Macaca fascicularis: one gene and its partners. The protein of the gene in region 2 interacts with the protein of the main gene of each other region in a pairwise test. Links are inferred from orthologs where the notes say so. Each region holds a gene or a part of one and is shown on either strand. Other genes may lie near its edges.

Evidence for each region.
Region 1: the proteins of RBM10 (region 2) and RBM12B interact in a two-hybrid assay, tested with the Homo sapiens proteins (3 studies listed by BioGRID). The link is inferred for Macaca fascicularis from reciprocal best matches to the Homo sapiens genes RBM10 and RBM12B.
Region 3: the proteins of RBM10 (region 2) and THAP1 interact in binary tests that used the Homo sapiens proteins (3 or more experiments, as listed by UniProt). The two-hybrid records come from large-scale screens. The link is inferred for Macaca fascicularis from reciprocal best matches to the Homo sapiens genes RBM10 and THAP1.
Region 4: the proteins of RBM10 (region 2) and CPSF7 interact in binary tests that used the Homo sapiens proteins (3 or more experiments, as listed by UniProt). The two-hybrid records come from large-scale screens. The link is inferred for Macaca fascicularis from reciprocal best matches to the Homo sapiens genes RBM10 and CPSF7.
Region 5: the proteins of RBM10 (region 2) and SF3B4 interact in binary tests that used the Homo sapiens proteins (3 or more experiments, as listed by UniProt). The link is inferred for Macaca fascicularis from reciprocal best matches to the Homo sapiens genes RBM10 and SF3B4.

The regions. Positions count from the first base shown.
Region 1 is NC_088382.1:103,388,538-103,392,620, forward strand, and holds the start of RBM12B (RNA-binding protein 12B), read right to left. Parts: upstream 2,808-4,083; 5' UTR 2,695-2,807; intron 2,511-2,694; 5' UTR 2,443-2,510; intron 1,922-2,442; exon of another isoform or gene 671-1,921; intron 450-670; exon of another isoform or gene 309-449; intron 1-308.
Region 2 is NC_088395.1:47,252,733-47,256,869, forward strand, and holds the start of RBM10 (RNA-binding protein 10), read left to right. Parts: upstream 1-1,335; 5' UTR 1,336-1,559; coding exon 1,560-1,629; intron 1,630-3,803; coding exon 3,804-3,945; intron 3,946-4,137. Other genes in the region: NDUFB11 (NADH dehydrogenase [ubiquinone] 1 beta subcomplex subunit 11, mitochondrial), read right to left, coding at 570-776. UniProt on the Homo sapiens protein: Binds to ssRNA containing the consensus sequence 5'-AGGUAA-3'. May be involved in post-transcriptional processing, most probably in mRNA splicing. Binds to RNA homopolymers, with a preference for poly(G) and poly(U) and little for poly(A).
Region 3 is NC_088382.1:46,376,722-46,378,899, forward strand, and holds part of THAP1 (THAP domain-containing protein 1), read right to left. Parts: intron 1,064-2,178; coding exon 868-1,063; intron 3-867; coding exon 1-2. UniProt on the Homo sapiens protein: DNA-binding transcription regulator that regulates endothelial cell proliferation and G1/S cell-cycle progression.
Region 4 is NC_088388.1:12,623,035-12,626,550, forward strand, and holds part of CPSF7 (cleavage and polyadenylation specificity factor subunit 7), read left to right. Parts: intron 1-301; coding exon 302-474; intron 475-3,516.
Region 5 is NC_088375.1:111,352,218-111,356,229, reverse strand, and holds the start of SF3B4 (splicing factor 3B subunit 4), read right to left. Parts: upstream 2,812-4,012; 5' UTR 2,768-2,811; coding exon 2,734-2,767; intron 2,302-2,733; coding exon 2,173-2,301; intron 1,935-2,172; coding exon 1,392-1,934; intron 1,063-1,391; coding exon 856-1,062; intron 1-855. UniProt on the Homo sapiens protein: Component of the 17S U2 SnRNP complex of the spliceosome, a large ribonucleoprotein complex that removes introns from transcribed pre-mRNAs.

The DNA of each region.
Region 1 (4,083 bases), on a different chromosome or scaffold from region 2:
TAGCACTCCTTATACTGCAAAAATAGTTAACTGGTAAAATTCTTCTCAGCCAAACAGAAAATGCTATTTATCTTATTAGTAATGCCAATAGCAGATTTCCATTTCAAACAACTATTCTTCACTCTACTAAGGAAACCCAAATGATGATGTAGAAAGTAAAAGTAAAAATTACCTGGAATACTGGGATTACCAGTTTACTGAAAATCTCAATGTATTTTTTTTTAAAGAAGTCTGTGTTTAATACTTTCAGGGATACCCAAACTATTTCACGAAGACTTGCCAAAATAATAATTATAATTTACACTCACTTTTTTTGGTGGAGGAGACAGGGTCTCTCTCGCTCTGCTACCCAGGCTGGAGTGCAGTGGTGCGATCTTGGCTCACTACAGCCTAGACTTACCCAGGCTCAGGCAATCCTCCCACCTCAGCCTCCCAAGTAGCTGGGACTACAGGTGTGCACCACCACACCCGGCTAATTTTTGTATTTTTTGTAGAGCCAGGGTTTCACCATGTTGCCCAGGCTGGTAGGGAACTCATGGGCTCAAGCAACTAGCTTGCCTCAGCCTCCCACAGTGCTAGGATTTACAGGTATGATCCACTGCGCCTGGCGTAATTTACATGTTTTTAATGTACAAATAAATGTTGCATTAATCAAGAATCCAGTACTTACACTTAAGTACCACTGTTCCCCAAAGTGGGGGTCTGAAGATACATTCACTGAGGTCTGTTTGTTTTCCTTTAAAAAGGGTCCATAGATTAACTAGAAGCTAAACTAGCAAAGACATCAAATTACTTCACACATTCTACATCTGAAAAATATTAATGAGGTTTGCTATTCAAGTATTTGCACAGTAACAACCCAAAAAAAGCCTATTTTCTTCAACAAACCAATATCCATACAAACACTTCAACAAAAACTATAAATGGCTTCTGGAATGCTTATCCATATTAAAGTCCCAAGACTCCCTCCTATGCAAATTGGCTTAGCTACTCTTTTACTGTTAAGATATTTTAGAAAGCACCGTAAGATATACATATTCTTGTCTCTCCTAAGCTTTTTAAAAAAATTTAAAGGGATTTACCCTGGGAACATAAATTCATCTACAAGAGAAATTAGAGACATTTCAAGGAATAATTATATCTCAAATTCAAAAAAATCTCTAGTAAGATCTTTTAACTAAGTAGTTTCATGAGCACAAATCTCATGAATTCCAATTCAAGCAGACTATTTAAAAAGCTTACTCTCATTTGCCACAGTTAAACACAACTAATGCTTAAACTTCTCTGCCCCTGAGACAGTAGGGTAATGTACCATTTATGCCTCCACAGTATCACACCTTGGAGACCAACTATAAAAGACCAGCTCTCAAAATGGGCACTTCTGTGGTTCCAACATGCTATTTCCTTAAGCAAATTCTCCAGAAATTCAGCTCTTAACACACTAAATTACAGAAAGCAAAACACGAAAATTACCCTAGTCTGCAATTAAAATTTTGCATTTTTCTAGTTATGAATGCAAAAAGTATTTTCGTGCCTTTGTGTTCATTTGAAGACAATAATCTGTTAAAATTTCTATGAAAAGAAAGTGGGTCCCTAAAAGGTCACTTAAGTCAGTGAAATTAAAAGCGCATTTTAAATAACTTCTATTTTTATACGATTCATCCCACTTAATCATCATTATAGCTAAACAATATGTAATGTGTATCTTCTAATCAAGATTTAACGGGATACAGAGAGGGAAAGGGGAGGGAGGCAGAATTTGAATAAGTAATATCTCATTAGATCCATTTGATTTTTAACTAGCGAAGAAAAAGTCATTTTCCAGATATGGTGAGAGAGAGAATTTTTTTAACTCTTTGCGACTAATTCGTAAAGCCCAAAGTCATGATGTAGCATATTCGCACTCTAAACGTGAGTTTCCCCTGGAGAAAATAATCTACACCAACCCACAATTATTCTTTATGATGATCCACCTTTTATAATGTAGATGTTTAAAATAAAAACCAAAGGAATGACCAATGAGAGCCATAGTCCCTAAGAAGAACTGTAAATGAAGACGAATCCACACGGCACAGGATTTCTCCCAACATCCTCAAACGGGAATCATCCGAAGGCATCGATTCTACAGCCCAAAGCCTTTGTCCATAACTCCCAGGGGTCAGAGCTTCCTTCTTTCGCGCCAGGCCAAAGTTGCTACGTGGGATCCGATGTTGTTGCCAGACTTTCAGCCAAAATCAGCCTTCAAATTAACCTGGACCGCCCAACCTCTGTGCCTTTCCGTTACGCCGTCTCAAGGGCAAACATTCCACCCTACCTCGCCAGAGGGTGAACTGCCCCCAAATCTAACTGAAAACACTTGCCCTTCTCAAGCCTAACGAGCCGGGCCTGCAGCGCTTTTCTGCCACTACTAACTACGATGACATAGCAAAGAAAAAGAAATACCTATGAAATCCTTCGAGATCTTCACTCTCAAGATCCCTGGGAAGCGCACATACACCACCACATGGAAGCTGACGGGAAAGGGAGAGTCGGTGTTTTAGCAAGAAAAGAGGGTGCCCTAACGGCAGGAGCTACGCTAGATACTGGCGCGGCCGCCGGTCCCGCCTTTCCCGGTTCTTCCGGCTTGGTCGCCCAGCCCTCCCCACCCCCGGCGCCCCGAGGGGAACTGCTTCGCACTTGGCAATAAACACACACCACTGCTGCCGAGTCGGACACACAAGGCCGGAGGCTGAGGGCACTCCTCGTCGCAGCAGCCTCCCCAGAACACGTAGAGCCCTCAGTGAGCCTAGAAGAAGATGGCGCCCACTGCCCCTCCGGTCCGGACAAACGGACGTAATGTTTCTCTGCCCATGCGCTCTCCAGGCGTATCCCACCACCACGCTTGCGCACGCGCGCTGCCGCTCACCCGCTTCCCCTTGCTAGAGGAGGGGAGGCGGAGCCCCGAGTTGGCTGAGCTTCTGCGCATGCCCAGATTGTGCCCAGTCCAGGGACCTCGATTTGCAACAGGAGAAATTCGGAGACACAGTCAAGGCTCAGATGGTAGATGTACTGAGAATCTTCGGTAGACAACTGTGGAAATTCAAGATTTCCAGAAGTTAAGGAAAGAGATGCAAAAGCAGAGAAAAGGCGACTTGTCTTTTCAGTGTTGCATTACTGTGTGGCGTAAAGCATCTTCTAAAAAGCTCCTGTGGCCGGGCGCGGTGGCTCACGTCCGTAATCCCAGCACTTTGGGAGGCCGAAGCCAGCACTTTGGGAGGCCGAAGCGGGCGGATCACTTGCGGTCGGTAGTTCGAGACCAGCCTGGCCAACAGGGCGAAACCCCCGTCTCTACTAAAAATTAAAAAAAAAAAAAAAAAAAAAATTAGCCTGGCATGGTGGCGGGCGCCTGTAATCCCAGCTGCCCGGGAGGCTGAGGCAGGAGAATCCCTTGAACCCGAGAGATGGAGGCTGCAGTGAGCCGAGATCGCACCGCTGCACTCCAGCCTGGTCAAAAGAGTGAGACTCCATCTCAAAACATAAAAATAAAAAAGCTCCTGTAGACCGTAGAATACCACAGAAAAGGTAATTTTACTGCCTTAGATGTTCGCCAAGTACAATCCCAACACCTGGGGGCTTAATAAATGCATACTTAGTCGGTTTTATAGATATTAATAACCTTGTAAAGTGTCTTTATAAATGTGTTCCCATCTTCTGGATTTTTGAAACAAGAGAACAGATGAGCCAGTACTGAAATTTCAGTAATGAAAAATCACTATTACAGGTATACTCTGTGATGCCTGCTACATAATAGCTGGTGAACAACCTTGTGTTTGGTTTTATCAATTGCAAATAACAAAGTTGTCCACCACGTTATATAGCTACTTGGTGCGTTTGTGGATGGATTCAAAACTCGTTAAGCAGAAAGTACATTTTAAAAACATTGTTACAGATGACAGAAAAAGTGAGTTGTGGATCCCTTTCTCACTGCAAAATACCCATTCTTGAATGATAAGATTATAAGAAAGAAGAGGTAGTTTAATAAGAAAATAAAAAGATGGTTAACACAAATGAGAGCCATCTTTTACTCACTGGACAAATTATCCT
Region 2 (4,137 bases):
GTGCTTCAGTTTCCTTATCTGTAGGATGAGTATAATAATAGTGCCTACCTCGAAATGGGGTTTGTTTTTAGGATAAGATGAGCTAATGCACATCAAGTGTTTAGAACACAGATGGGGCCCAGAGCGGTGGCTCCTGCCTGTAATCCCAGCACCTTGGGAGGCCGAGGCGGGAGGATCGCTTGAGCCAGGAGTTCGAGACCAGCCTGGGCAACAGAGCGAGATCTCGTCTCTAAAAAAAAAAGAACACAGACAGCAACGAGCAAGTACCATATCGGTGTTTAGTATTATCGTTGTTGTACTACTATATTGCTTCTAATGCGTTTTGAGCGCTGTCCACTTGAGGCGTGATTTCTGTCTGCAAAATAAAACCAGTCCTGCCTCTGGCCCTGGAACGCGGATATCCACAGATAAAGGAGGAACACAAGATAGGCAAAATTCCCAAGTCTTCTAGGCTTTCGCCGGCCGCGCAGGCCTCTACTGCCTAAGAACGTCCTCTACAGCGCCCCACCTGCCGATCCCGGATTGACCCCTTCAGGGTTCCGTCCCCCCCCACCCCCCCCGCCTCTTACCTTCTCATACAAGTTTTGGTCTTCGGGTTCTGGGTCCTCTTGCCACTGTGTGGTCGGTTCCAGGGCCCGCTTTCTCGCCACAGCGGACGGGGCGACCACAGTCCTGGAGAAGCTAGATTCCCAGCGGACGCGGGCGGCCGGGAGCCCTCGCGTTGCCGCTGCCGCCAAAAGACGGCGAGCGCTCAAACCAAACAGCCCAGCCGCCATGACAGATGGTGCTGCAGGGTCTGAGGGGCGGGGACGGAAATGCGACTGTGCGCAGCTGCAGTGGGTGAGAGCGCGACAATTATCGCTCCGCCTCCGCCATGCTATATAGGTCCCAGATCTGATTTTGTTTTCCAGTGAGGCGGGGCGTTGAGCAACCCTCTTTGCCTCCAGTTGTCGTGGCTTCGTGGGGCCAACCATTCTCTCCCCCTTTCGGCCAGGCTGAGAAATTTCTTATTGATGGATCTGCTCATTTCCTGGATAGGAAGAAATCGGTGACATTGGGTGGATATAGTTCCCAGCCAATCGCCCAGAGTTCCCTCGCCCTTTGGGGAAAGAGGTGGAGCTTCCGCTAGTCTTTCATCTTCAAAGGAAATCAAGCTTCTAAAAAGCGGGCCCTGCCGGATTGGCCAATAGCTACTTCTTTTCTCCACTAGGGGAGCGTTCGCACGGGTGTGGGGAGGTGTGGGGAGGTGGCCAGCGCTTGCCAATCAGAGGAGGCCAGGGCTGTCCCCTGGCGGGCGGTGACCAATCGCCGGGGCCGGCCAGAGCGCGCTTCCTTAGTAGGTGGATGGTGGTCGGAGCGCCGACTCCCTTCTCGTCGTCGCCATTTTGAGCTGGTGACTGGCCGGCTGGGAGTAGGCGGCAGTGAGTTTCCTTGGGAGGGCAGCGCGCTTGGCGCTTCTCCCCTCCCCCCGATCTGCCTGCAGTCTCGGACTTGGTAGTTGCGCGCTCCGGCTCCGGCTGAGCTGGGAGAGTTGGAGGAGGTGGCGGCGGGCCGAGGTGATGTCTGGGAGCCCTCCCTTGACAGCCCGGGCCGAGAAGGTGAGCGTCGACGCTGGTCGTGGGGGCGGAGGTAAGGGGCCCGGGGCGGGGACGTAGAGGAGGCGCGAGGGCGGACTTCGGGTCGGTGGGATGCGCGGAACGGAGGGGTTCGTGCAATGTCTGTACCCGGGAGGGGTTTTTTTTGTTTTTTTTTTTTTGGTGGTTTTTTTTTTTTTTTTTTTTGGTGTGAGCAAAGGCGCGTGCGCGACTGGGACATGGGATGGGTGCGTGCGGGTTGGGGGAAGGGAGGGACGAATGGGAGTGGGCTACTGTGGATCACTGTGTCGGCTACACCGAAGTTTATCATTGGGGAAGCGGTTGTCTGCGACTTGTGCATAGGAGAGGGGATGCTGCTCTGTGTTACTCTGGTGTTTATCGATCCATTGGGAAATATTCTGTGGTTCTGGTCTTTATTCCTGGGGGATCAGAGGGAGGATGTGGCTCTGGTCTTTACCCTTTGAGGGAGAGTGTCTGTGACTCAGATCCTTATCCATGGGGCGGGGCTTGGGGGACGACTGTCTTGTGATTGACCCTAACCCACTTACTGGGTGGGGAGGGGGATGCAGGGAATGTGTGTGTGACTCATTGCCCCTTCTTTTGGGGAGTTTGTGAGAGTGACGCTCATCCATGGAAAGAGGACCTAGTGTGTAATTGTGGTCCTTACTGTGGATTCCTTCTGTGATGTGGGCCCGTAGTTATTTGGGGCTCGTGTCTGTGACTGGCCCTTGGCTGTGGTGGATGTTACTGTGTGACTCTGGCCCCTTTGCCAGAGTCTCTTGAGGGTTTTTGTGCTCTCAGCCGCCAGTGCCTCTGGTGTGATTCTAACTCTTGCCCACCTGGGAGCAGGTAATTCGGGTTCCCTGTGGCTTGAGGAGGAAGAGAAAGTTGGAATGTGCGTGTGTCTGTGTGTGTGTATGTGCACGCGCATAGAGCAAAGGCGTGGCAGCAACCTAGTGTTGGGCAGGTGCTATTTTTGCCTGGCTTTACCTGATTCCTGTTCAGAGGGTGGAGCCTGAAGATCTGGGATTCATCCTGACCTCTGGCTGGGTCACAGGGTTCTCAGGACTCCTTGAGTTCTCACCACAGCCCTGAGGGTTGGATGAAGTGGCTGCTGCTCCATCCCAGTAGAAGAGCACGGTGGTTCAGAACAGCCTCCAAAAGGGCCCCTTTTGCCTCTGGAAAACGGGCTTGAGCCCTGGGGAGGGAATCACCTTGGGACCTGGCTGCACATAGGAGACAGGGCTCAGGGCTGAGCCAGTTGCTGTGTGAGGGCCAAGGCTGTGTTGGCCAGGAGCCCAGGGAGGTAGCAGCTGTCTCGTTGCCAAGTTAGCCCCTTCATACACACCCCCAAGAACCTTTCATGGTCTTTTGCTGCCTTATAGGGGACAGCCAGCAGCTTGTTGGGAGGATGAGATGGTCCCTTGGGGCCCATGGAAGGAGCCTGGTGGGTGCCTGGGGCTCCCATTGTTGTGAAGTCTTGCCTGATGTGCTGAATCTCAGGCAAGACTTTCAGCCCTGAGAGTATCCCTACGGCCACCCTGGGATGCAGCCCCAGGCTTGAATTTGTCTACCTGTCTTAGGTGGCAAAGCCCTGATCACACCGTGGGTGGCCCCGCCAGGTCTCTCTGCAAGATGCCCCTTGTCTGCTGAAGTCTTTGCTGTTTTCTTTATTTTTTTATTTATTTTTTTTTTTTGAGACGGAGTCTCGCTCTGTCACCCAGGCTGGAGTGCAGTGGCCGGATCTCAGCTCACTGCAAGCTCCGCCTCCCGGGTTCGGGCCATTCTCCTGCCTCAGCCTCCTGAGTAGCTGGGACTACAGGCGCCCGCCACCTCGCCCGGCTAGTTTTTTGTATTTTTTAGTAGAGACGGGGTTTCACCGTGTTAGCCAGGATGGTCTCGATCTTCTGACCTAGTGATCCACCCGTCTCGGCCTCCCAAAGTACTGGGATTACAGGCTTGAGCCACCGCGCCCGGCCGTCTTTGCTGTTTTTTAAGGCAGTGGGCTCTAGCCTCATGTTTGCGGGGAAAGGGAGGAGCAGGCCAAGTAGGGGCTACCTTCACACTGTGATGCACAGGAGTGCTGGGAGCTAGAAGACAATGTCCCTGGGCTAAGGGGCGGCAAAGAGCCTTGACAACGAGGGTTTCTCAAGGAGGCCTTCTCTGTCCCAACTGTTTTGACCCCTTTTTTCCCTCTATTCTCCGCAGAGTCCCTGCAGGAAGCATCACCCAGGCTGGCAGATCATGGTAGCAGCAGCGGGGGTGGCTGGGAAGTGAAACGGAGCCAGCGGCTGAGGAGGGGCCCCAGCAGCCCCCGAAGGCCCTATCAGGACATGGAGTATGAAAGACGGTGAGTTACCCGTTCCCAGCCTCCCAAACAGCCTAGGCTTGCCTCTATGTGAGAATTGATCCAAGAAGGTGCTAGGTTGGGGCTTCTGGGTAGAGGAAACAGCAATAGCAGATGAGGAGTTTCTTTTCAGCAGACAGGTATTTGGCACCTGTTGTGAGCCAGGACTTGTGCTGGGCTCTGAGAGTGCAGTGA
Region 3 (2,178 bases), on a different chromosome or scaffold from region 2:
TTCTAAAACAAAAGTACAAAGTATGTTTGAATTTAGTAACTAAAAATAACAGTTTAAAACAATTTGTGGACTGACCAGGGGTAGTGGCTCACGCCTGTAATCCTAGCACTTTGGGAGGAAGAGGTGGGCGGATCACCTGAGGTCAGGAGTTTGAAACCAGCCTGGCCAAACATGGCGAAACCCCGTCTCTACTAAAAATACAAAAATTAGCCGGGTGTGGTGGTGTATGCCTATAATCCCAGCTACTCGGGAGGCTGAGGCAAGAGAATTGTTTGAAACCAGGAGGCGGAGGTTGCAGTGAGCCAAGATCATGTCACTGCACTCCAGCCTGGGTGACAGAGAGACTCTGTCTCCCAAAAATAAATAAATAAATAAATAAATAAATAAATAAATAAATATTCTGTGGAATTTAAGAAATATTAGACTTTTGTGGTGAATCAGTGGTACAGAAACATTCCAAAATGAGAAAACAGTTTCAGTTTGAATAAACTTTTCTACCTGCAATAAAGGGACGGTGCAAGAAAGAGACAAAATGAATAATCAGATCCAATTAAATACTAAGCACTGAGGAGAAAAAAATGCTTTGAAACTAAACTGTCACTGATAAAGAAAACCCAAAACTTATCAATATATAACTGGCAGTACAGAGTGATTTTTAAGTAAGTTACAAGGGCTGGACTAAGTTTCTTAGTGTGAGGATATTTATCTTAAATAAACCGCATTTTGTGTTTTCAGAAGTGTATCACTGTTAACTACACAAAGTTCCAGGCACATTTATTCTCTTTAACTGAGTTTTCCACATTTTAATCAATGAACATATCAGTTTGATAAACAGAAAGCAACCCAATATTTTAAAACGCATATTACCTTGTCATGTGGCTCAGTACAAAGAAATATTGTGGGCACAGCATTCTCTTTCAGTAACTTGTTGTTGCACTCTCTCTTAAAGCAGTCTGGAGTAAAGTGCTCTGAACAAATACTGCTATACTTGGTGGGTTTAAAGTTTTTTCTTCTGACAGCTGCCTCCCATTCTTTACAAAGACTGGGTCGAGTAAGAGGAAACCTAAGAAGAAGGCATAATTCAATTATCTGTGCTGATTTTTTTAAAATAAAGGCACCCAAACTTTCCAACGTAGGAAAGATCTTACATTGGTATTAAAGATGTTACAATGGTATTATCATACTGGATTAAAGATTAGCTCTAGTTATCTATCTCATTTATTAATTAAAAAAAATTTTTTTTGAGACACAGTCTTGCTCTGTTGTTAGGCTGGAGTGCAGTGGCGCAATCTTGGCTCACTGCACCTCCACCTCCTGGGTTCAAGTGATTCTCCTGCCTCAGCCTCCCAAGTAGCTGGGACTACAGGCGCCTGCCACCACATATGCTACCATGCCCAGCTAAGTTTTGTACTTTTAGTAGAGACGGGCTTTCACCATGTTGGCCAGGATGGATTCGATCTCTTGACCTCGTGATCCGCCCACCTTGGCCTCCCACAGTGCTGGAATTACAGGCGTGAGCCACTGCGCTGGGCCCTCATTTATTAATGTTTAACTTTTTATAGTGAGTTCACCAAAAGATTCAAGTAAAATACATACTATAGAATAAATGTGCCCGTGGCTCATGTCTGTAATCCCAGCACTTGGGAGGCCAAGGTCCAAGAGACTGCTTAAGTCCAGGAGGTTGAAGACTAGCTTGGGCAACACGGCAAAACCCTGTCTCTACAAAAAATACAAAAATTAGCTGGGTATAGTGGTATGTGCCCAGGTACTTGGGAGGCTGAGGCTGAGGTGGGAGGATTCCTCGAGCCTGGGAGGTCACGGCTGCAGTGAGCTGAGATGGTTCCACTGCACTCCAGTCTGAGTGACAGAGCCATACCCTGTCTCAAAAAGAAAAAAACTGTATTCTATTTTTACCAGTAATTTTCTGTGTGCTGCACAGGAAGACAAACATTGCACATTTGTATCTATGTACTGGGAAAGAGGGGCTTCTAGTTCTCTTAGCATCAGTCTGGACAAATACGAACAGGGTAAATTTGAATTAAAGGCAGATAATAATGAAAGAAAAGTATTTATTTTCTAATCAACTGGGATGTCCATTAGGCCCAGGTAAACGGGGATAGTGAGAGTTTAAATTTATTGTGGTTTTACTCTTCCAAATTAAGGATTTGGTAAACTGGG
Region 4 (3,516 bases), on a different chromosome or scaffold from region 2:
CTGAATTTTAATCCCTCCCACCCCTGGCCCAGCTTAATGCCTTGGTTTTGGCAAACTGCCTTAGAAAGGGACCTAGCTGCAGTGTGGTAGAACATTTATCTCTTAAGGGGCGAAGAATACTGATTTTTAATTCCAAAAAAACAAAGATTTAGGCTCTTTGTTGTTAGTAGTGCTGTGTGTGTGTTTAGTTTAGCAAGATGTCCTCTGCTTTATCAGTTTTTACTAAAAATAGAAGAGAATTTCTTTTTTCTTCTCTTGGTTGTCTACAGATTTCATTCATTTTTAATTTTTCCTTCCTAAGGTATGCTGAGGTGGTGGTAGCCTCTGAAAACTCTGTCCACAAATTGTTGGAACTCCTACCAGGAAAAGTTCTTAATGGAGAAAAAGTGGACGTGAGGCCGGCCACCCGGCAGAACCTGTCACAGTTTGAGGCACAGGCTCGGAAACGTGAGTGTGTCCGAGTCCCAAGAGGGGGTACGTGGAGACCATCTGTATGAAGGGGGGGATGTTTGTGGGTTTGTTTTCTGTGGTGTAGGCTCAGCCTACAGTGTGGATGAGTTTGGGGGAGGGTGATGGTGGTTGTAAGTGGTGTCATGGTCAACAAGTAGTCCCCAAAATAGGTCTGTATAGAAGAAAGAGCATTGTGCTGGGAGTCAAGCAGGTTCAGGTTGTAGTTTGGTTCTGCCAATAATTCATTGTGTGACCTTGGCCAAGTCACTTTACTGCTTAGGGCCTGTTTCCTCATCTGGACTAGTGACATGATATTTAAAGTTCCATCAGCTCTAAATTCTGTGTTTCTGTCTAAAAATTGGCATATGGTGAATGGGCTTAATTTTTAAGACATGCCTCTCTATAAATTATCAAGAAACAGCCACCCTAAAATGTAACTAAAAGGTGCCTATAATCTTTTCATAAACGTTAATTGGAAAGATATTGAAAGGAATCAACCAAGAGGAGTGGTGGAGAATAAGAATTGAACAATATTTCTCCAGCATTGTCCAGGGGAGAGGGTGCTCTTTTGATTACCAAATGTTTTAGTCTGTTTGGCAGGTATATCCCATTAGTAAAGTTAGAGGCCGGGCGCAGTGGCTCATGCCTATAATCCCAGCACTTTGAGAGGCCAAGGTGGGTGGATCATGAGGTCAAGAATTTGAGACCAGCCTCACCAACATGGTGAAACCCCCATCTCTACTAGGAATACAAAAATTAGCTGGGTGTGGTGACACATGCCTGTAATCCCAGCTACACGGGAGACTGAGGCAAGAGAATTGCTTAAACACGGGAGACGGAGGTTGCAGTGAGCTGAAATCAGGCCACTGCACTCCAGCCTGGGCGACAGAGCAAGACTCCGTCTCGGGGGTGGGTGGGAGAGTTAGGGGCTGGGCGTGGTGGCTCACACCGTAATCCCAGCACTTCAGAAGGCCAAGGCGGGCAGATCACCTGAGGTCAGGAGTTGGAGACCAGCCTTGGCAACATGGCAAAACCCTGTCTCTACTAAAAATACAAAACTTAGCCGGTTATGGTGGCACATGCCTGTAATCTCAGCTACTTGAGAGGCTGAGGCAGGTGAATCTCTTGAACCCCAGAGGTGGAGGTTGCAATGACCTGAAATTGCACCATCACCCTCCAGCCTGGGTGACAGAGTGAGTCTCAAAAAAAAAAAAAAGCAAGCTACACCAGACTACCCTAGTTTGAGGACAGTTTCCCTTACATTCATCTTACTCTCTTTATTCTGACTGTACTCACTAAGCCACTTTCTTATGCTAATTTGGTTTCCCAATTAGGGTCTCCTACTGGGAAGAGTACTAAGTACTCCGGTTTGCTTGGCAGTTACATTTTTCATTGTAAATTAATAAATTGGTGTTCTGGTTTATGAGTCAGTCTCTTGTGAGTTTGGTTAGCATGAATCAGTCTCCTACGGCCTAGTCACCCCGGTTGAAGCAAGTTTCTGAATCTGAGAAACCTGAGGACTAGACCTTGGATTTTCCTGACCTGATAAAGTGCAGCCACCCTGCAAGGCCCTCCCTGAGACAGTCAGCCACCCTTACTTTCTTTTGCTACAGTGGGAGGAACAGCAGAGTTTCATCACCAATGTTCTGTCACTGCTTAGGTCCAGCTCTCAAAATAGTGCCTTGTATTGATTGGGTTTATCCTCCAAGTAGAAATAGGACCACTTTGTTCTTGCATAGGAACAGCTGTTCTTTTAACTAGATTGACAGCCTAGATAGATTTGGGGTGAACTCTTACTGCTCCATGTTAGAAAGGACACACTTTTCTTCCTTGACAAGTATTTTCAAGTTCCCTCTGTTTTGGAGTCTTTCTGTAATTCGCCGCTGACCTTCCTTAGGTATGTAATTTTACAGTTGTATTGGGAATAGCATTCCTACTTCTACTCAGCTGCTTTTCATGTTACCTTTCTTTGCTGAAAAGATTGTAGTAACTGAGTGCAGTTTTTCTCTGTCGTGCTGATAAACCTGGGCTCTGTTAATCACTAAGTAAAGCTGGTGGACTTCCTCTGCATAAAAATGGTTGCCTCTTTTGGGACTTGTAGCCATAGGTAAAAAACAGAATCCTTGCAGATGTGACAACAGTAGTAGCTGGGGAAGTGGTTAGCTGTCAGATGACACTTGCCTAATACCTTTTTGTTCTTCAGTTTGAGAGAACTCTAGGAAAGAGCCAGTTGCCATGTGTTTGGGACATGAAGAACAAGACAGCACTGACACTGTTTCTGTAGTAGAGAAGTCTAGGTGGTTGTCAGCATAATTGATTCCACCTTAGGCTTTACTCAGGAGCTGGGATTAACTATCGTGTTCTAGTTTAAGGAGCACTCTTTCCCTCCACACTTGCTGCCAATGGCATCTTTCTATTTCTAAGACTTCCCTGGTGTAATGTGATCTTGTTCTATTGGATTCCACATTAAACAGGCTTAAACTGTTAAACTGGAGAGAAGGAACAAGTTTAATCAAGTGACTTGACAGTGTCAGAATCCATGCTTCCAGCTGTTTAAAACATGTTCTGAGCTCCTGTTGTGCACAGCACCATACTGGCATGTGGTGATGGTGTTCGTGTTAGGCTGCCCTGAGGAGTAGAGGATTTTGGCCATTGAAATGTAGCAGGAGTTCCCCAGATTTAAGACATGGTTTGTAGCAAGCTTTTGCTAAGCATCCTTACTGTCAGCTGTGTGTCATGTGCTCGTGCTGTGGGCAGATCTTTTATTGGCCTATCTCCCAATTTTTCTTTCACTTAACCTCTAATTGTCTAGTCTTTATGCGTGTCTCTTTCTTACCCTGATTACTGGTTTTAGTATGTAAATAGAAGTGTCATCCAGTTCCTGCCACTCCCTCTCTTCCCATAAATTCCCTAGCCAACACCCTGTGGCAAAGAGAACATTTTAAATGTGCAACAGGAAGAGGTTAACTAGTATTAGTTTAAGGAGAGAGATCCTGAACTCTTCAGGAGATGTGGGGTTTCAAGTCAACTGCAATTCACCTGAACATCAGTGAATACTGTCATTTT
Region 5 (4,012 bases), on a different chromosome or scaffold from region 2:
GTAGATCGAAGTTAGGGAAAACTGGAGTCCAAGTGGAAGGAGATTACTACAATAAATTAAGTGTTAAATAATGAGGGAATGAGAGACTGAACTAGGGCACTGGCCATGGGGAGAGATGCCACTGATATTAAATAAGACTTGGTATTAAGAGTGGGGTGATAGGGAGCAGTCAAACATCACTCTCAGATTCATGAATTAAGCACCTGAAAAAAAAGACTGCTAGAGAAAGAATGGGTTTGAAGGAGAGGGACAGAAAAATGACGCTATCTATTAAGCAGCAGCATTAAAGCATTAAGGATCCGGAATGTCAACAGCTATGGACTAGAGATACAGATCTAGGAGGCATCAGTATATGCCCAATTAAAACTATAGATATATGCAGAAAAGAGAAACAAGCACAAAAATCTAGGCACAAGTAGACAAGAGTCTATCATGGTAGCTGAGATTAAGGAGTCAGAGGGGTGGAGGATCTAGAAAAGCAAAAGCAAAAAGAGACGAGAATTTCAAACAGGAGGACACGACTAGTTTCAAGTACATCAGAGGTCAAACTAGATAAGGAGCAGACGTGTCCCTGAGATTTGGCAATTAGGTCACCACTTTGAGCTGGAGTCAGAGAAGAGAATGGAACTAAAGGTTAAAGAAATAAAAACCAGCAAGTATAGTCTTCTTGTCAGAAAAACTTAAGAAATGGATACAGGGAGGTGGATGTTAGAGAGTATTTTGTATGTTTTTATAATAGAATGTCTGAAGGAAAGGAAACTCTGAAACTGTTACTGTTGAGGAACAAAGGGCAGCAGGGTGAGAGGTAACAGAGATGCTCTACCAAGCTCTTCCCTCCCAACAAAGCACACCTACCTGGATGGGGCATCCCACCTGGTGGGAATGGGTGAGGATGTGAGTGTCCATGACCAGGATGTCCTGCCCCTGGGGTTCCTGCCGATGGGGGGCCATGTCCTGCAGCTCCAGGAGGCATAGGTGGTGGGGGCATGGCTGGGGGTATCCCAGGTGGGAGGGCTCCAGGAGGTGGCACTGGGGGTGGGAAGGAGCCAGGAGGAGGCATGCCTATAGAGGAAATGGAAAAAGGAAAAGTTAATGGTAGTGAGGAGAAAATGTCTTTAAAGAGCCTGTCCTGATCTGGCCTCTCTGGGCAGGGTGAGCTCTTTCCCCCTCCTCCCAGTGCTCTAAAATCAAAAGCAATGTTAGAAAAGTCAACCAACTTCACCCTCCTAAAGAAACCCAACAACTTTCTTCTCCACCACTACCATCACCCCTCAGTCCTCTTCCCATCACTCACTGACTCCATGTCCCATCCCCCTTTCAGGCTCTTTTTTTCTTCCTCCTGACTCTCTCCCCCAACCTTAAGACAAACAAATTTTAACCAAAAGCTTTACCTGGTGGAGGAAGCCCAGACCCCAATGATGATACCACAGGATTGGGGGCAGAGGGTGGAGGAGGTGCATCTGCAAACAGCTGATGAGGGCGGTCAGCCTGGGAGAGCGGGTTCTGAGCTGCCAGAAGTCGTTCGGCTGCTGAGCCATGGCGCTCACCCTTGGAGTCCTTCTTGAAGGCATAAGATACGGTGATAGGGCGGTTACAGAGGTACTGCCCATTCATGGCTTCAATTGCTGCATCCGAAGCATCAAATGAAGCAAAATTAATAAAGGCATAACCTTTGGAGTTGCCTGTGTCAGGGTCCCGCATAATCTTGGGGGTTTGTAAGATGACCCCAAAAGCGCTGAAAGTATCATAAAGCAACTTCTCATCAATCTCAGGGTCCAGGTTCCCAATGAAAATGTTGGCCCCTACATCCAGGTTTTTGTTGTGGGCTGATGCCTTGTTCACCCGTATTGGCTTCCCATAGAGTTTGATCATGTTCATGATCTTAATGGCATAGTCAGCATCTTCCTCACTCAAGAATTCCACAAAGCCATAGCCTGGAGAAGTGGAGAAGAGGAGGTTAACAACATAAGAGATTGAAAATGGGGTAAAACTCATCTACCCTCTAATCACAAAGAACAAGAAAGAAACAATCTCACTTAAGAATGGTTCCAGAAATAAACTGAACAGAGGCTTAAAAGAAAGAAATACTTTAGGTTGCTCATGTTATTCCAAAACAGTTGTGAATACTGCCGGGACCCTCCGGAAGCAAACTGCCCCTTGTCATGTACTCACCTTGGTGCTGGCCAGTGACTCTATCCTTTGGCATGTGGGTGTTGACTACTGGTCCAGCCTGGAGAAACAGTTCCCACAGCAGTGGTTCACTAACCTTCTCATCCAGGCCCCCCACGTACACAGTGGCATCTGAAGGGAGGGAGCAGAAAGTTAGAGCAAGGGTGAGAGTATAACATGAAAGAAGGAGGTGATGGAAACATGAAGATGGAACCCAACCGGGGGAACTGGGGACGCGGGTAGGGGACAGGAGCAAAAAAAAAAAGTTAAACCCTTAAACTTCTCTCTCCAGGACTTCAGGAATCCTCTGAAGTCTAATTTAGTATTCTGAGTGGATTTTTTTGTTTTTTTGAGTGAGAACTCAGCAGGGGATTGGACGTAAGTATCACACACACAGGCCTCAGCCAGCACCTGGCCACCCCGCCCCCAGGAGGCACGGGGCCGGTCTCGCGCCCTCTGGGGAATGGATGAGTCCAGTCTCCCACCCCTGCAGAGGCACTTCTGGCTGTAGTAGGGGCCTCCTAGCCACGCTGAGCCCATTCCAGACTTTCCCCCTCCAGTTACCCTGGTTCCGCTCGGAGATCGGCCCGGCAGCCATGGCGAAAGAGCTCCCGCCGTCTCCCAGCAGCGGTTCCGCCTTCTGACCTCAGCACGACTTCCACTTCCGGGGCGAAGGAGGACGTAGCGGTGGGCGGAGCCGCGGAAGAGGAGGGGCCTGGAAGCGGCTGCAGCCATTTTAGGATCCTCCAAGACTTAACTCGGGTTGAGCGGTGGAGTCCTCGGCACTCGCGCAGAGGTGCCGCTGCTAGTGGCTCAGACCGTCTTAATGCACTGCTAGACTTGAAAGAATCACACTGCTCCCAAAAATGTAAATTCGAAAGCTAAAAGAACAAAAACTTCAGTTTTCATGTATTTTGTAGCCAGTGATGATGTTTTGTTGTCCAGAGAAGGATGTGCTGAAGAGTCCCCCCAACCCGAGGACTTGGCTGCTTTCAGGCGCAGAGGGAACCCTCCATCTCGCCTGCAACCTTCTTGCAGATTTGGCCTCAACAGCCCTGATTTGGGCTGGAGGTATTTGGTTTTCCCTCAGGGGAGGAGACTGCGAAATGTCTGAGCTGGAGTGACGTCTGCGCTCATCTCGTCGTAATTGCATGGGGAGGGTGAGGGCAGCTCCAAGGTGGTGTGTGACCACAGGTGAGGGGTGGATAGGATCGGAGCTCAGAGACTTCAGTCTGGATCTCTAGAACAATCTGGCCCCATCTGCCTCTAAATGGGAGACACACACAGAATCCTTTCCCCAAACTGCACTTGAATTCTGCAGAGTCTCACCAAATCCAGTTCCCCTATTTCCTTAGCAATAATACAGTAGATGCTTTCCTCTCTTGGATCATACCCACCTTTTACCCACCACTTTCCTACCTAGGAGAATCCTTTATTCAAACACAAGAAACAATGCCAGTAATGTGTATAAATACTATGCTTTAATGAGCCCCTTAAATAGAAAATTCCGCTACAAAAATACACAGGAGACAGGGTGTTTCCTGTATCCGCCTCATTCCCATAGAAAACTATAAGGGAAGAAATAGAAGTTGGAATTAAAGCAGCAGCAAGGCGAGGTGAGAATGCGATCTCTAGGCCATCTTGTTGGGACTGATGAACAGCATCTCTGATCTCACGATTTAACATCTGGTTATCCAGAAGGGATGGAATTGGTCTAAAAAAACCGATCAATTTCTGGATTGTTTTTGTTTCTTAATCTTTCAAATGACAAGAAACAAAAATATCCGTAGGAACTAAGCAAGACAGGACAAGAGTTGCAGCAGTTAACACCACCATCTGCAGC